Linked DNA regions of Astyanax mexicanus. The protein of the gene in region 1 interacts with the protein of each later gene in a biochemical or structural test. Links are inferred from orthologs where the notes say so. Each region holds a gene or a part of one and is shown in the gene's direction. Other genes may lie near its edges.

Region 1 (7,602 bases):
CACAAACCAATTTGGACAGCCACCACCCGTAGCACAGAAAAACACCTATAAAACAACCACTATATCTGACTGACATTTGCTAACTCAAAAACCCCACAGTTTATTGTTTTACATGAGCGTGCTCAACCTTTGGTAGCTAAAACACACACAAATGTTAAATGTCACATCGTCCTAAATATTAAGACATACACATTATACAGCTCTGGAAAAAAATTAGAGACCACTTAAAATGATGAGTTTCTTTGATTTTACAAAAATGAAAACCTCTAGAATATAATCAAGATAAAGATGGATGACCACAAGCCATCAAAACCAAGCTGAACTGCTTGAATTTTTGCACCAGAAGTGGCATAAAGTTATTCAAAAGCAGTGTGTAAGACTGGTGGAGGAGAAAATGCTGAGATACATGAAAACTGTTAATTAAATCCAGAGTTATTCCACCAAATATTGATTTCTGAACTCCTAAAACTTTATCAATATGAACTTGTTTTCTTTGCATTATTTGAGGTCTGAAAGCTCTGCATCTTTCTTTGTTATTTCAGCTGTTTCTCATTTCTCATTTTCTGCAAATAAATGCTCTAAATGATAATAGTTTTATTTGGAATTTGGGAGAAATGTTGTCCGTAGTTTCTAGAACAAAACAACAATGTTCATTTTACTCAAACATAAACCTATAAATAGCTAAATCAGAGAAACTGATTCAGCACATTTGATTGTTTTTATCAATATAAAAGTATTGATTCAAGTATAAAATTATCACACTTGATTGTTCTGATCTATATATTCAGTATTTAAGTAGTGTACTTAGGACATGTTACTGCTACAAGTACCACAGCTTGTATAATTGCTTTATTTGACCCTTGTGTTGGATATAGTGGATGGATAGTATTTAAGTCATGTAATATCAGTATATAATCGCTGATATAATTTCTTCATAAACACCAAGTTCCAAATTATTATGCAACTGATGATTTTCTTAGATTTTCCTAAATGGTAAATGCAAACGACGGTCAGTGTTTTTTCAAGTCATGACTCCTTAAGTATAAATCCAATTTTATTGAACAAACCTCCCAATGATAATAGGACTCCATCCATCTGAACCATCCAGGGTTGCATGGCATTCATCTGTGAAAATTAATCTTCTAGTATGTCCAGGCCCACTGCAACCACTGCACCTGCTTGTGAGCTCTGCTTAGGGGTGGCCGAATCGTAGGTTTATGCACAACTGCATGCCTCTGGAGGATCCTACACCTTGAGGTTCACGAGACTCCAGCTGCACCAGCAGCTTCAAATAGCTGTTTGCTGGTTTGTAATTGCATTTTAGCAGCTGCTCTCTTAATCCGATTAATTTGTCTGGCAGAAATCTTCCTCATTTTAGCTGTCTGTGCTCTAAATCAGCCACAAATCTCTTCAAAGTACGGTGATCATGCTTCAGTTTTTATGAAATATCTAATGGCCTCATACCTTGTCCGAGGCACCTCACTTTTTACCGCTTTTCAGCAGCAGTGAGATCTTTTTTCTTTTCCATATTGCTTGAAACCTGTGGCCTGTTTCATAATGTGGAACAGTGCATTTTGAGTTTTTTTATTTTAAAAAAAGAAATACACTTATCTTGGGAGGTTTGTTCAATAAAATTGAATTTATACTTAATGAGTCATTTGCATGGAACATTAGGGAAAATCTATGAAAAATATCACTTTTTATTCCCATGGTGGGCTTACTTCTTGACCCCCCTACCTCTTACCTATTCATGGCTCAGGTGTTGAGTGTTACTGACTCTATGCTGATGGGAAATAAGACCAAACTACTTATGTGTTCATCATTTACACACCAAACTCAAGTCACTGTGAACTCCAAGCAAACTGATAAGCCCAGACTCAGGCCATGACTGCTGCTTCTGTTCGCCTGTTTAGTTTCATTGAGTGGTTAAATGTCGCAATCAATCTGTTAATCCAAATCTTACGATCACAGAAGTTCCTAAAAGCTTACAGATGAACTGGCGTTCCGCGGCCCACTAATCCGGTTCCTGTGAATGTTTAAGCATTTAGCACACACACACAAACACACACACACTGCAGACTTAGTGTGTAGTAACATGGCACTGAGTGTTTCCCTGTGTACAGTCGCACTGCCAAGACATTTCCATCCCAGCCAAAACTGTACGATAAGATGAGTTAAGCACCCAGAAGAGCCCATGTTTAATACTGATCTAACATTCAGTGCCACTCTACAGAACAGCAACAGGGTGTTTCAGTGTTTGGTGGTACAATAGTACAGTAATTGTGCTCTAGGCTTGTCACAATACTTAAATTTCCAATGTATTGTACAATATATGACTAATTATTTTGCAGTTTTTCTTTAAAAAGACTAGAAATACTCATTTTATAAAGAAAACACAGGATGATTATGCAGCTAAAATGGATTGAGGATGAGAAAAGGACAAACAGATGAGTGCAGGTTAGTTTGGGTCACTATGGCTGTGGATTAGAGCTTGGTTACCTGCTTTGTTGGAGTTCAAGAGGTTTGGTGGCTGCAGGGACACTACAACCATATGGCTTGTGTGGGAAAAATGAATAGCAGCAGAATTAGAATAAGGAGGGATGAAAAAAATAAAAATAGACAAGTGCAGGTCTATTTGTGCAGCACTGAAATGAACTGAACTGTGTATCTATTGTGCAAAAATACTGTAGATATTCATGTATTTTTGCACCCTATTTCTTCTAAATGAACAGATTTAGTGCTAAGAAAATGGAATAATAAGAAGCATGTAAATTGCACAACAAATAGTCCAGATTAATTTAGCTAGCTATCTCAAATAATCCCTGCCTTCATAACCCTTGAATGTGAAAATGATTAAAAATGCCCGTTCCCACTATGCTAGTAGTGATGAAAAATTATCCAGCTATGGTTAGCGAACCTTACAGAAGCTCAGTGATTACCTGTTTAGGAGAGAAAAATAGCCCGGCACACAGAACACCCATTTACAAGCCTGCAGTCCACAGTTTGCCTGCTATTGTGTTCTATAGCTGACAACCCAGTGTGTGGAAATGGGACGGGGGGTGGTGGTGGGCAGGTACGGTGGCTTTCCTAACAATACATAAACTTAACATGTTTCCTTAATAAAAGATGGTACTGATCATTCTAATCATATGAGTTACTACATGCATTACTACAGAAAATATCATCCTTAATGGTCCTTTAAAATGATTATTTTTTTATTATTTCAGGTACATTTTATAAACAAAAGCAGGAATCCTGACTCTGTAGGAACTGTGCTCCGTAGTAAAATCCTCACTACATTTGGTGGCTTGTGTCTGAGGTGTCTGAGGCAGTGTGAGTGTCCTCAGCTGACCCAACAACGTCTGTGAATTTGCTTCTTGGGAACAGCATTACAGAGCTCTTGTGCTTCCAGATCATTCAGTAATTCCCTTCCCTTCAGCTCATTTCTCTAAGCGTACATTCATTATCTTGAATTTAGTTGTTAAAAACTGATTGAATCTAAAGGTCTCTGATATTTTCCTCTTTGATCTGAACACAGATTAACATTATATCATCCCATTACATTTACTAATGGCAGGTGTAGGCAAGCAGAAAACAGGGCCGTTCAAGCCAAGGTACAAACTATATATGTAAATGTTCTTTCAGAGGTACAACAATGTCCTTAAGGTACAAACTGTAATCCTTAATCGAGTTAAGAAGGTACAATGTATTTATTTTCCCTATGGAAAGGAGTGTAAATTAAATCACAAAAACAAAAGCCTGGCAGAAAAACAGGGCACCTTAAAGGATTTGTAATGGAATTATATTATCCAGCTTACCTGGACTGATTGGGCACAGTGCAGCAGGGACATCCCTGTACAGGGTGCCAGTCCATCACAGCATGGCCTGTTTACCTACCACATTGTCACGTTATTTTAAATCAATTGTTACCAGTCAAGATATAAGATTCTGATAATGTGATTTTTTTTTTTCTTAAAAAAAAAAACTATTTGTTTGGTGAGAGAGACCGTTTAATTTTGTGAGTATGAAATTTCCATTATACAGCTCTGGAACAACCACTTCAGTTTCTGAATCAATTTCTCTAATTTTGCTATTTATAGATATATCTTTGAGTAAAATGAACATTGTTGTTTTATTCTATACACTACTGACAACATTTCCAAATAAAAAATACTGTAATTTAGTGCATATATTTGCACAAACTGAAAAATGGCTGAAATAGCAAAAAAAAGAGGCAGAACTTTCAGACTTTAAATAATGCAAAGAAAAAAATCATATTCATGTTCGTAAAGTTTTAAGAGCTCAGAAATCAATATTTGGTGGAATAGTTTTCATGAATCTTGGCATGTTCTCCTCCACCAGTCTTACACACTGCTTTTGGATAACGTTTTGCCACTCTTGGTGAAAAACTGTATATCAGAAAAAATATTGTAAGAAACACGCACGCTCCCCTACTGTAGTTACCTACTCTGAAAAGCCGAAGCGGCGCGGCCACGCGCTTCCTGTGGGCGAGCACGTACTCGCCGTAGTGGAGTGACGTCAGGACGCCGTTGAGCTCGAAAATGTTAGCGTATGTAGTTAAATCTGGAGGCGACGGGAGGAATCGTTAGACGGAAATAATATCAATTTTCCGCCGAGAAACGCCCGAACAAACGCCGCACTCCTGGATTGAGCGGCTTTAACCGCGGGCTGGGCTTCGGGTGAGCGCCTGGGGACTCTGCTGGAGGAAGTTTGGGCGATATTTTCGAGGAGGGATGTCGAACCCGGGGACTCGGAGGAACGGGTCAAGCATTAAGATCAGACTGACAGGTAAAGCGCTTCGGCGGGGAGCTGCGGGTGTGCGGGGTTCGGCTCTACGGGGTTTATTTGACGGCAGTTTGTGTATAAAAAGGCTACAGTTGGTCGTGTCGTGCTTCGTGGGCTGCTGAGTAACCTAAATGGCTCTCTAACTGAATCCCTAACATATCCGGCTAGCGGCTAACATAGCGGCTAATGCGGGCTAGCGGGCAGGCTGAGCCCGGCTTCAGACGGACGGGGAGCGAGCGTTAGGTTAGGTTAGCTAACTAGCTTAGCATAGCTACGGTTAGCTTAGCTAGGTTCGCTAACGTTAACTGGCTGTTGGTAAGGAGATCAGATGGTTGGGGTCGGTCTGCAGGCTTACTGAGTGATTTAATTCGATAATATGATTAATATTAATTTATATCATGTGGTTTATAATGTGTAAGTTAATTTGTTTAGCGCGTTAAACTCTTAAACAGTATAGTAGGGTTGAATTCGCTGCTCCCAGTCTGGAAAAACGGTCGCTCTTTTATCAGCTAGCCGCTGAGATGAGCTGAGTTTGGCTGCCTGGTACTTACGGCGATTTCTCACCGATTTAAGTAGTTAGTTTGTTAACTATATTAGTCGAGTGTTAAGTTTTAAACAAGGTTAACTTAGCTGTTTCAGTTATTCAGCTTGGTTTGTGGATAAAAGCAGTGTGTAAGACTGGTGGAGGAGAACATGCTAAGAGGCATGAAAACTGTGACTAAAAAACAGGGTTATTCCACCAAATATTAATTTCTGAGCTTCTAAACCTTTATGAATATGAATATATATAACTTGTTTACTTTGCGTTTCTGCCAATAAATGCTCTAAATGATTATATTTTTATTTGGAATTTGGGAGAAATGTTGTCTGTCGTTTAAAGAGTAAAACAACAATGTTCATTTTACTCAAACATATAAATAGCAAAATCAGACAAACTGATTCAGAAACGTATTTGTCTCTAATTTATATTTCTCTCTCTAGTTTAACTAAAAACCGTTAGTTATAGTTATTCAGCTTGGTTATGGATAATAGTCATGCAATTTAGCAGCTTGCAGAGCAGCTTCTAGATAGTGATATTACTGTTGGTTTAAACGTGAGTGTAAAATTGCACTCTGCAAGTAAGCAAGAGCTTTGTATTAAAGTTGCTCTAAGCTCTAGGTCCTCACTCAAGAAAGCACAAAGAAAAGATCTGCAACATCCAACATTTTGTTATCAGCTTTTTTTTTTTTAAGTTGCTGAAAGTTACAAATATTCAGCAAAACAAAGTGCTCCGTTTAAGTCCTGTTTAAGTGATGTATATAGAGGCACATCCTTTATTCCTCTACCTTTTGCTTTAGGAAGGTCTAAAAATGTTAAATACATTAAAATTCTAGCAGAGACATGATGCAACATTTGTCCAGGGCTATTCTAGAAGTATTGTGATCCAGTGTTTTCTTCCACCCCTAAAAATGACATTATCATGTTTGTACTAAGGTTGCTGAAAGTTACAGACACTCAGTAAAGCAGTGTGTCTCCAGGAAGTCAACTTAAAAAAAAAAGTCAGAATCATTAAGGAGCCTGATGTCTAGGGTTTAGCCAGATTAAGAACAGTGGAAATGGTGTCTCCTCTTCTCTGGGTTGTTTATAGCACTATTGTCAAGGCCACAAGAGAGTCATACTGTCTTTGCTCCCATCTTTCCAAGAATTTGGCATTTATGTTTTGAGAATTTGAGCGTTAGATTGAACACAAACAAAGTAATTTGAAGATTTTCGGGGGCAGTTTACCAAACAGGCATTAAGCCTAGTCTTGGACTGCACAGCATTTAAATAGAGATTTTTCATTGACAGGAAAAAAATATTGTAGGCTTTTGCTTTATTCTTTTCTGGGAAACTGATCTGTACTGATCTAGTGAAGATGGAATGGTTTTACTGACTCTGTCTGTGGTTGCTTTTGAGTATGCAGCCACATTTATGAGCTTTGATTACAGTTAAAAGACTAACTGAAAGTTACACTCGACAATGCTGACTTTTTTATAATCCAGTCGTGCATTATGTTTAAGTAATGGATCTAGTGGAAAACCCCTTATTTCTCTTTCCCTTTTGTTTTGATGGGGATAACAAAGTGCTATCTAGGGTTTCACCACTTTAAGAAAAGTGCAAGCTGTGAGGCTGCTGTTCTTTTACCAGATTGCCTAAAACACTTTTCTTTAGGGCCACATTAGAGCTGTACTGACTTTTTAGTTGTGATAGGATTAGCTACATTTTAGGAGAGTTTAGCCCTATATAGCCCAGTAGGTTTAAACCAAACATAAAATTTCATGATGAAAAAATTTCTGTTTATGTTGCTAAAAGTTACAGACACTCAACAAAGCAATGTACTCCAGTGTCCAATTGAACATTACGTTTATCAAGTAATCAGGGTCTAAAATGTCATAAACCCTAAAGATCAGGATATCTCTTGGGGTTTAGCCAGATTAAGAACAGTGGAAGCTGTGACTGCTGTTCTCTAGACCGCTTATAACACTTTTCTCAAGTCTAAGTCTGAGCTGTACTGTCTTTGCTTACATCATTTCATAGAATTTAGTCATGAATGGGAGTTCTGCTGTATGAGAGCATAGCAGTGAATCTTACTAAATCACTGTAGGGTAAACCTGAACATTCAATTTCATTGGAAGCTTTCTGTTAGTCACATGAAGTTATAGACACTCAACAAAGCCCAAATATCCAGTTAAACGTAATTTTAAATTGACGAAACAAATGTTAGATAAATTAAGGAACATGATGTCTAGGGATCAGTCAGATTAAAAACAGTACAAG
Region 2 (7,507 bases), on another chromosome or scaffold:
TGCTGTTCTAAACCCACTTTATCTTTCCGCCAGTTTCACAGCCTGGTTCTTCTATGGCGTCACATTATCAGGACTTCTTTACCTAAAAATCAAGAAACGTGATCTTCCTCGTTCATACACGGTAAGAGATATCATTTTAAATATAGCAAAAAGCCTGTTTAGACCGGGTCACTTCATGTGAATAGTATCTGGACTGTTTTTTAAAGATTTTTAACCACACTTTTTTGCACTTAGCAGTCAGGTGCATTTCCATGCATTTTAAACTGTGATTTTATGTACACTATGTAACTACACAAATGTTAGTTTACAAATTATAATAGTGAAAATACAAGTACAGATTTTATTTTATAAGTTCTCAAATTAAACACAAAAGTACAGATTTTATTTAATAACATCTTGCATTACAAGATATAAGTACAGATTTTATTTTATTTTTAATGTAAGTTTTTACATTAAAAAACACAATATCTTTAAGTTATCAGATCAGGTCTTACAAGTTTGCCAGTTTTCCAACATAATTATCCAGCATAATATATAAATACATCTTGGGTGAATTTACACTTGTATTTTACACTTGTATACTCAAAAAAGTGAGAAGATATAAATGGATTTAAAGATATGGTCTCAAAGATGTAATAAAAGTTGTTTCGCTCTATAATTACATTACATATTATAACAAATAACAGATAATAGAGAAGCAATAGCCAACTGCCTCTTTTTACAACTATCTCAGGTCCCCATTATTATCCCCTTCCTGGTCCTGCTGGCAGCAGTGTTCCTCGTTCTTGCTCCCATCATCGACAACCCTCAGATCGAGTACCTGTACGTGACCCTCTTCATCCTCAGCGGAGTTCTGATTTATGTTCCATTCATTCACTACAAACTGTGTCCCGGATTCCTGAACAAACTCACAGTCTTCCTCCAGCTCTTCCTGGAGGTGGCGCCAGCTGATAAAAACCTGTGAGGTTCCAGGACCTTCTGGTTTGGGAGACATTTCTTGTCCCAACTTTGTAGTAACACTGAACACTGTAGCAGTTAAAAAAAGCTCCATTTTTGCTGTTTTTAATTTTGTTTACATAATATGAATCTGAACGTAGTTCTTTATGTTGTATTAAAATTGTATAATGAATGCAATCCAATTGAAATGCTCCAAAATTTGGAATAACTTGGAATAAAATCTTTTTCCATTGACTTTTATTTCAAGAAGGTTTTGTCCTTTAACTACCATTTAGTTGCCATTTAGGAAATATAGTGTTTTTGCAAGAAGGTGGAGATATATTGAAGTTGAGTTCATAGCAATGAACCTTGATCTAGAAACATTTTGGGGTCATTTAGTTGAGTAGCACTGTTGACCGACTGTAGCAGTAGAAACATTGTGGCACTAGTGAAACTACACATGTCAGATTACACAATGTTTTCTGTTTTCTATTGATAAAATTTGAACTGTTTTTTGATGTCTGCATTTGTGTGTCTCCTTAAATAATCACATTTTAAATAATCACATTTTCACTTAAACATATTAAAAATAACAATGGTGCTCATTATCCAGCACTTAAAATCAAGAATGGCTGGGATGTAAACATATTAAACATCTAAATACTAAAAAACTGGTGCTTGCCATCAGCAGCCGGAGTCCGAGACAAAGAGCACAACTGGCCCTGCTTTTTCTGGGTGGGGAGATGGTGCTCTGTCCCCATATCATTGTCCAGCGGGGTGCTGGCTAGCACAGGTGTCTGATGTAGCTGACGTATCGGAGCTGGGTTGCTTCAATTTCCATGTCCTGGTGTTTGGGACTCACTGGTAATGGGGCAGCACTAGTGATGAGACTGGCTAATTGGCCTTCCAAAAATGGAAAACAATTGGATATAATTTGAAAAATTTAATCATAAAAAATAACTTGTTGCTCAGAAGCAAGAAACACAGATTTACAAATATAAAAGGTGTCTGTTCCATATCTTTGACCTTCTACATTGTTCTATTGTGTGTCCTTCATATACATTTAAATCTACAGTAACTAGTATTGAGCAATGTTTCTCAGCCCTGGTTGTGGAGGCACCCATGCTGTACACGTGCCTGCATCTCTGAAATGACTTGTTAATAAACTTGTCATTTTTATTCTGGTGTGTTGGGAGAAGAGGAAGATTGCATTATTGCATTATCACACATTTGGCCCTCAATTTTTTTTGTTATGTAATGTTATCTAAGAGTTTATGACTATCAGAGATAATAATGATTATGAGCAGCATTTTGCAGTGTCATTTAAAGACAGTGCTGTACTTAAAATCATGTCATCTGCTCTTGAGACTAAGTAGTGGTCTGATTCTTATCTGAGTCTCATTAAATATGCAACACACAATGAATAATAGATTCATTTATTGATTATTTGATTTACATGACATTCTAAGGGGCCATTTGGAATTAGAAGTGTGGATGGAGGCAGACACTTAATGCTCATGCTCTTAATGATTTTAATGTAAGTAAATATGGGATTAGCAGTGGGTGAACATATGGTCAAAACTCTTATTAGTGTGCTTACAGGCATTTATTTAAAAGGCAGAGGTAAATCATTACAAACATTACACTCCAACATATAGGTTTAACTTTTTTATTCCGTATTCTTGGGCAAGACGTATATGATAAAATAATATATCATGATATGGCTTGTTATTATCTCATTAAAACCCTCTTTATCTCTTTAAAACATTAAGATCTAGTCAATGGTGTCTTTGAAGGCAATATATATTTTGGTTAGATCATAAACTTGCCTATAAAAGCATGGCAATACAATACAATTCAGGGTAAATATCTGTGATTTAGGATAACAAAAATAATGGTGTGGTCTTACAGCTAATACTTTTATAGTAGAGGAAAAGCTGACCTGTTGTGGTGTTTGTTTTTTAGCTTTTTAAGAAGACAACTGGGCAATGTCTTTGTAACTAATTTAGTGTAACCTTAATGAGTTAATAACAAAACAAAACTAAAGTGTAAAATAAGGTCATTAGCATAGGTTTTACAGACACAGGTTATATGTATACTCTGCAAATTTAACTTACCAGTATAGGGAATGTTTTCACCTGGATGAACAGCTTTTTGACCATCCTCTAACCATTTGAAACCAGTTTACAGTGGGTTTTTCAACAGGGTTGACTGTAAAAGCAGAAAAATACAGGATAATATCAGAGAAAATACATGTTGTTCCAGATTCCAAAATAAAGGACAATATCTTTTGTATGGCTTTGATTCATTCGGAAGGGAAATGGGCAATGCCCTTATGGCTACGCTAAAGTAACCCTACTATGACAAGAACAGTGTAAAATTAGTCTAAAATAATCAAATTAAAATACATTTTACAGAAGCCAGTAATATTTGTAGTGTTCTAGTATATAACAGCTAGTCTGGTAAACATAGTGTGATAACAGGAAAAAGTATGGGATGAAACATCTCTATTTTACATATAAAACATTTTAGTCTTATTATTTTATTAAATATAGATACTTTGTGGTTTAAAACGACTAGACTACAAAAAACATTTAATCTTAATACATACACTACACATCCCAGCATTCCCACGAACACAGCTGGCGCCTTCCATATCCGTCCACATCCGCATTTATGTGACCCCTGTAGCCAATCGTAACGCAGGAGGGCGGGGTCTGTCGGAAAACGCGTGGAAAACAGTCTATGATAATAAAAGGTGGCTATATTATGTGTAATATTGTGTAGCTGGCTGCTTATTATGTTTAACGAATATGTTATGTATAATAAAGTATTTATGTTTATTTACACTGATCTAAAAGGGCATTATAATATGTATAAAAATAAAATGTGATAGAAGTAAACTTCCAATCCCAGTTTAACTATTATGTTATTTGTACTTGTGTATATCATTTATACACAATATTTCACAGATTTATTTTAGTAAGTAAATCTGGAGCTACATATTTATTTAAATTAGTGTATTATAATTCTGGGTAAAAATTATATTCAGAAAGGTAAATTGAAAAATGCAGTTTTTTTTTGTTTATTTGTGATGTTACTAAATTCCTTCAAAGTATATCTTATATGTAGGAACCCTAACAAATATACTCATATATAAATATTTTCTTTATAATCAGAATTTAATTTTAAATTAATTTGAAGTGGCCATCTAAATCAGCACAGCATAGACTTATTGTTAAATACCAATAATAGTTTACTTTATTAGGAGTATTTTTTTACTTTTGATTATACTTGTTTTTTCCCATTTGTTATACTGCGATTTGTGTCAATATAAATTAAAATTAGGGAAAAATCAAAGTATTTTCATTTATTTAAAAAAAAAAAAAACGTTTCCCAGGTCCTCGTGGTGAGCGAGAACAGTCACACCCCTGATCACGAGGGTGCCAATCAGAGCCGGAGAGAAAAACCATGAGGTAATCCCTCGGCCTGCCATTGGAGGGCTATATTAAGAAAGCGGCGAGGCGCTTTATAAGGAACTCTGTGCTCTGAAATCCTGAGAACTGAACAGTGAGAGGCTGAGGTGGTGAGCTGCTGTGTCTGAAGTGAGAGGAGCTACTTTATAAGCTGGAGATCCTGAATAAGCTACACAGTCTCAGCTGGAGATACTGAAGAAGCAACACAGCCTCAGCCTGGACACTTTTCTAACTGTGTATTTCATTTGATCCTGTTTTAATAAGGATTTTCAGAGTTTTAATCCGTGCGTAAAAGCAGCGAGGACACACCGAGCACATGGCTGCTATCCGTAAGAAGCTGGTGGTGGTGGGGGACGGGGCGTGCGGTAAGACGTGTCTGCTCATCGTCTTCAGCAAGGATGAGTTCCCTGAGGTCTACGTGCCCACCGTCTTCGAGAACTACGTGGCTGACATCGAGGTGGACAGCAAGCAGGTGGAGCTGGCGCTGTGGGACACGGCCGGCCAGGAGGACTACGACCGCCTGCGCCCCCTTTCCTATCCGGACACGGACGTGATCCTCATGTGCTTCTCCGTGGACAGCCCGGACTCTCTGGAGAACATCCCGGAGAAGTGGGTGCCTGAGGTCAAGCACTTCTGTCCCAACGTGCCCATCATCTTGGTGGCCAACAAGAAGGATCTGCGCAACGACGAGAGCGTGCGCGGCGAGCTGGCGCGCATGAAGCAGGAGCCGGTGCGCGCTGAGGACGGCCGCGCCATGGCCGTGCGCATCGGTGCCTACGACTACCTGGAGTGCTCGGCTAAGACCAAGGACGGCGTACGGGAGGTGTTTGAGACTGCCACGCGTGCTGCGCTCCAGAAGAGGTCCAGGCCGGCTGGTGGCTGCGCGAACTGCTGCAAGCTCTTGTGAACTCATGTAAACTTCTGTGAAATCATGTGAGCTCCTGTACGAACTCCTACGAGAAGAGGACATGGTTCCCCAGACAAGAAACGAAACATGCTAATGTGGGGCTCACTTAGGTGGAACATGGTCTAGGTGGGTTCCAATTGAGTTCCAGTTGGGTTCCAGGTCGGTTCTAAATGGGCATGGGCTCTGAGTGGGTTTGTACTTGTGTTCTAACGACTAGTTGGGCTTCCCATCTAGGGGTTCCATCTAGGCCCTATATTTGTGTGTGTGTGCAAGGTACAAACCAGGTGGGGCCTATGTTGACTCCCATGTTTAAACTCCTCCTGGTCCCATCAGTGACACTGACTGACTCCATGCCTTGTGGAGCCAACATGGACAAACCCATGGACAGAACTTTCTAAAAGGACCCAGTTGACTTGTTGACCCAGCCTGGAGTCTAGTTCTTTACTCATGGACAAGTTGGGTGGGGGGGGTGTTTGGAGAGATGAGGGGGGAGGGGTTTGAAGTGTCCCTTGATGCCCTCCCTGCACCAACACTAAAAAGTAGAGAAAGAAGGAAAAGAATGGACACAGAACAGTGAGAGAGAGAGAGAGAGAGAGAGGGGATGGTAGGGGGCTTGTGAACCCTCAACTTTGTATCTCTCTCTGTGTTTGTGTGTCTCTCTATCTTGCTCTCTTTTTTTCTCTCTTTTGCTTTGTTGTTTTGGTGCTGTGTGGCAGCCGAAAAAGACACAGGCACTATACTATTCACACTGCAAGTACTACTACCACCACCACCAACAACAACAACAGCATGCTCTGGATAATGCATGCATGGGTGGGTCTGGGTGGTTGGGTAGCTTGGGCACAATATCTGCTGCTGCTGCTGCCACACAGAACAAAGTACAGAACAATGTAACTTATAGGCTTAACACTGTATACAGCCTTGCCTTGTTTATATGACACATGCATAGGGCTCTGTATTTTGTTTTTTGGGGATTTTTTTAAATGAGAGAAATGAGAAGAAAAAGAATATGCCTTGCCACTGCATTGAGGTGGTCTTTGGGATGTACACTGGGATGACCCTCAAAAAAAAAGAACAGGAGGAGACTTGTACAAAATGCTAGCTTTCTAGTCAGCTGCCAGCTGTGGTGAGACTGCAGTGCGAGCAGGGCAGCTGTGCTTTTGTTGCACAGTGAGAGACTTGATGCAGCACTAAGAAGGGGGATGGAGGGGTGGGGGATGGGTGCAAGTGGTCAGTCAGTGTGTTCCGGGACTGTGTATTGTGCTGTTGCAAAAGTCACCTCGATTCATTGTATGCACACACATTTACAACACACATACATACGTACATACATGCCCACACCATGAAATGTTAAAGTGTGGGCCCATGCTGGTGAATCTGCATGCTTAAATAGCCCAGCATTGTCTGAATCTCCGTTTGTTGTTTCCATTCTTGTTGCACTGGGTGCCCGTGCAGTCTGCTACCCCACCCTAGCGCTCGGTAAACTCGTACGCAGCCCCTCTGCTCGAGCACCAACAATGAAGTTTGTCACGATTGCACTGATGGGATTATGGGAGCTGCTTTTGTTGATTTGGGGTGTATAGGGCTCGGCTGGGATTGGCTGGGTTGGGGTGTGGGCCCTTTTCTGCTTTGGCTCAGCTCTGGGTTAGCGTGACACACTACGCACACCCTCTGTTACAGAGGCGGCCTATGAAGTTCAGCTCTGAAGCTCTGTACATTTTCTGTTTTGTTGTTTTTAGGACTTTTATATGTCTTTAAGCCTGTGGTACCACTGCATTAACTTCAGACTGACCTGGGTCAGCTCTGAGGCGTTGGCTGTCATGTTTACAGTAACCCAGCAATGAACAGAAAAAATAAAATAAATATTCAATTGCAATACAAGTATGTGTCTTGTGTTTATGTACAAGTGTCAAATATGTGCCTTTAAGCAATATTGCACTGGTTCTGGTACTGGTTTAGCTGTGGTTTCATGTGTATTACACTAGTAGATAATGAAAGGGATTGAAAAGGGCAGTACGGGTGGGGTCTGCTCACACTCAGCTCCGCTGCCTCATGGTCCTACTGCCTCCAGCACAACAGCAGGCTTTGTTCATCTCCACTAGTATCTTTTCTACTCTTTAAAGTAAATTTATTTTGTTGTGTTGTATATATTATGAAAAAGATTACTTGGCTTTTGACGATATACATA

What was found.
Region 2: the proteins of smurf1 (region 1) and rho-related GTP-binding protein RhoB form a complex in vitro, tested with the Homo sapiens proteins (2 studies listed by BioGRID and IntAct, with this or other methods). The link is inferred for Astyanax mexicanus from reciprocal best matches to the Homo sapiens genes SMURF1 and RHOB.

Annotation. Positions count from the first base shown.
Region 1 is NC_064410.1:54,769,682-54,777,283, reverse strand, and holds the start of smurf1 (E3 ubiquitin-protein ligase SMURF1), read left to right. Parts: upstream 1-4,541; 5' UTR 4,542-4,754; coding exon 4,755-4,809; intron 4,810-7,602. UniProt on the Homo sapiens protein: E3 ubiquitin-protein ligase that acts as a negative regulator of BMP signaling pathway. Mediates ubiquitination and degradation of SMAD1 and SMAD5, 2 receptor-regulated SMADs specific for the BMP pathway.
Region 2 is NC_064421.1:13,264,887-13,272,393, forward strand, and holds rho-related GTP-binding protein RhoB, read left to right. Parts: upstream 1-4,469; 5' UTR 4,470-4,728; coding exon 4,729-5,319; 3' UTR 5,320-7,200; downstream 7,201-7,507. Other genes in the region: zmp:0000001267 (b(0,+)-type amino acid transporter 1), read left to right, coding at 34-121, 734-964. UniProt on the Homo sapiens protein: Mediates apoptosis in neoplastically transformed cells after DNA damage. Not essential for development but affects cell adhesion and growth factor signaling in transformed cells. Plays a negative role in tumorigenesis as deletion causes tumor formation.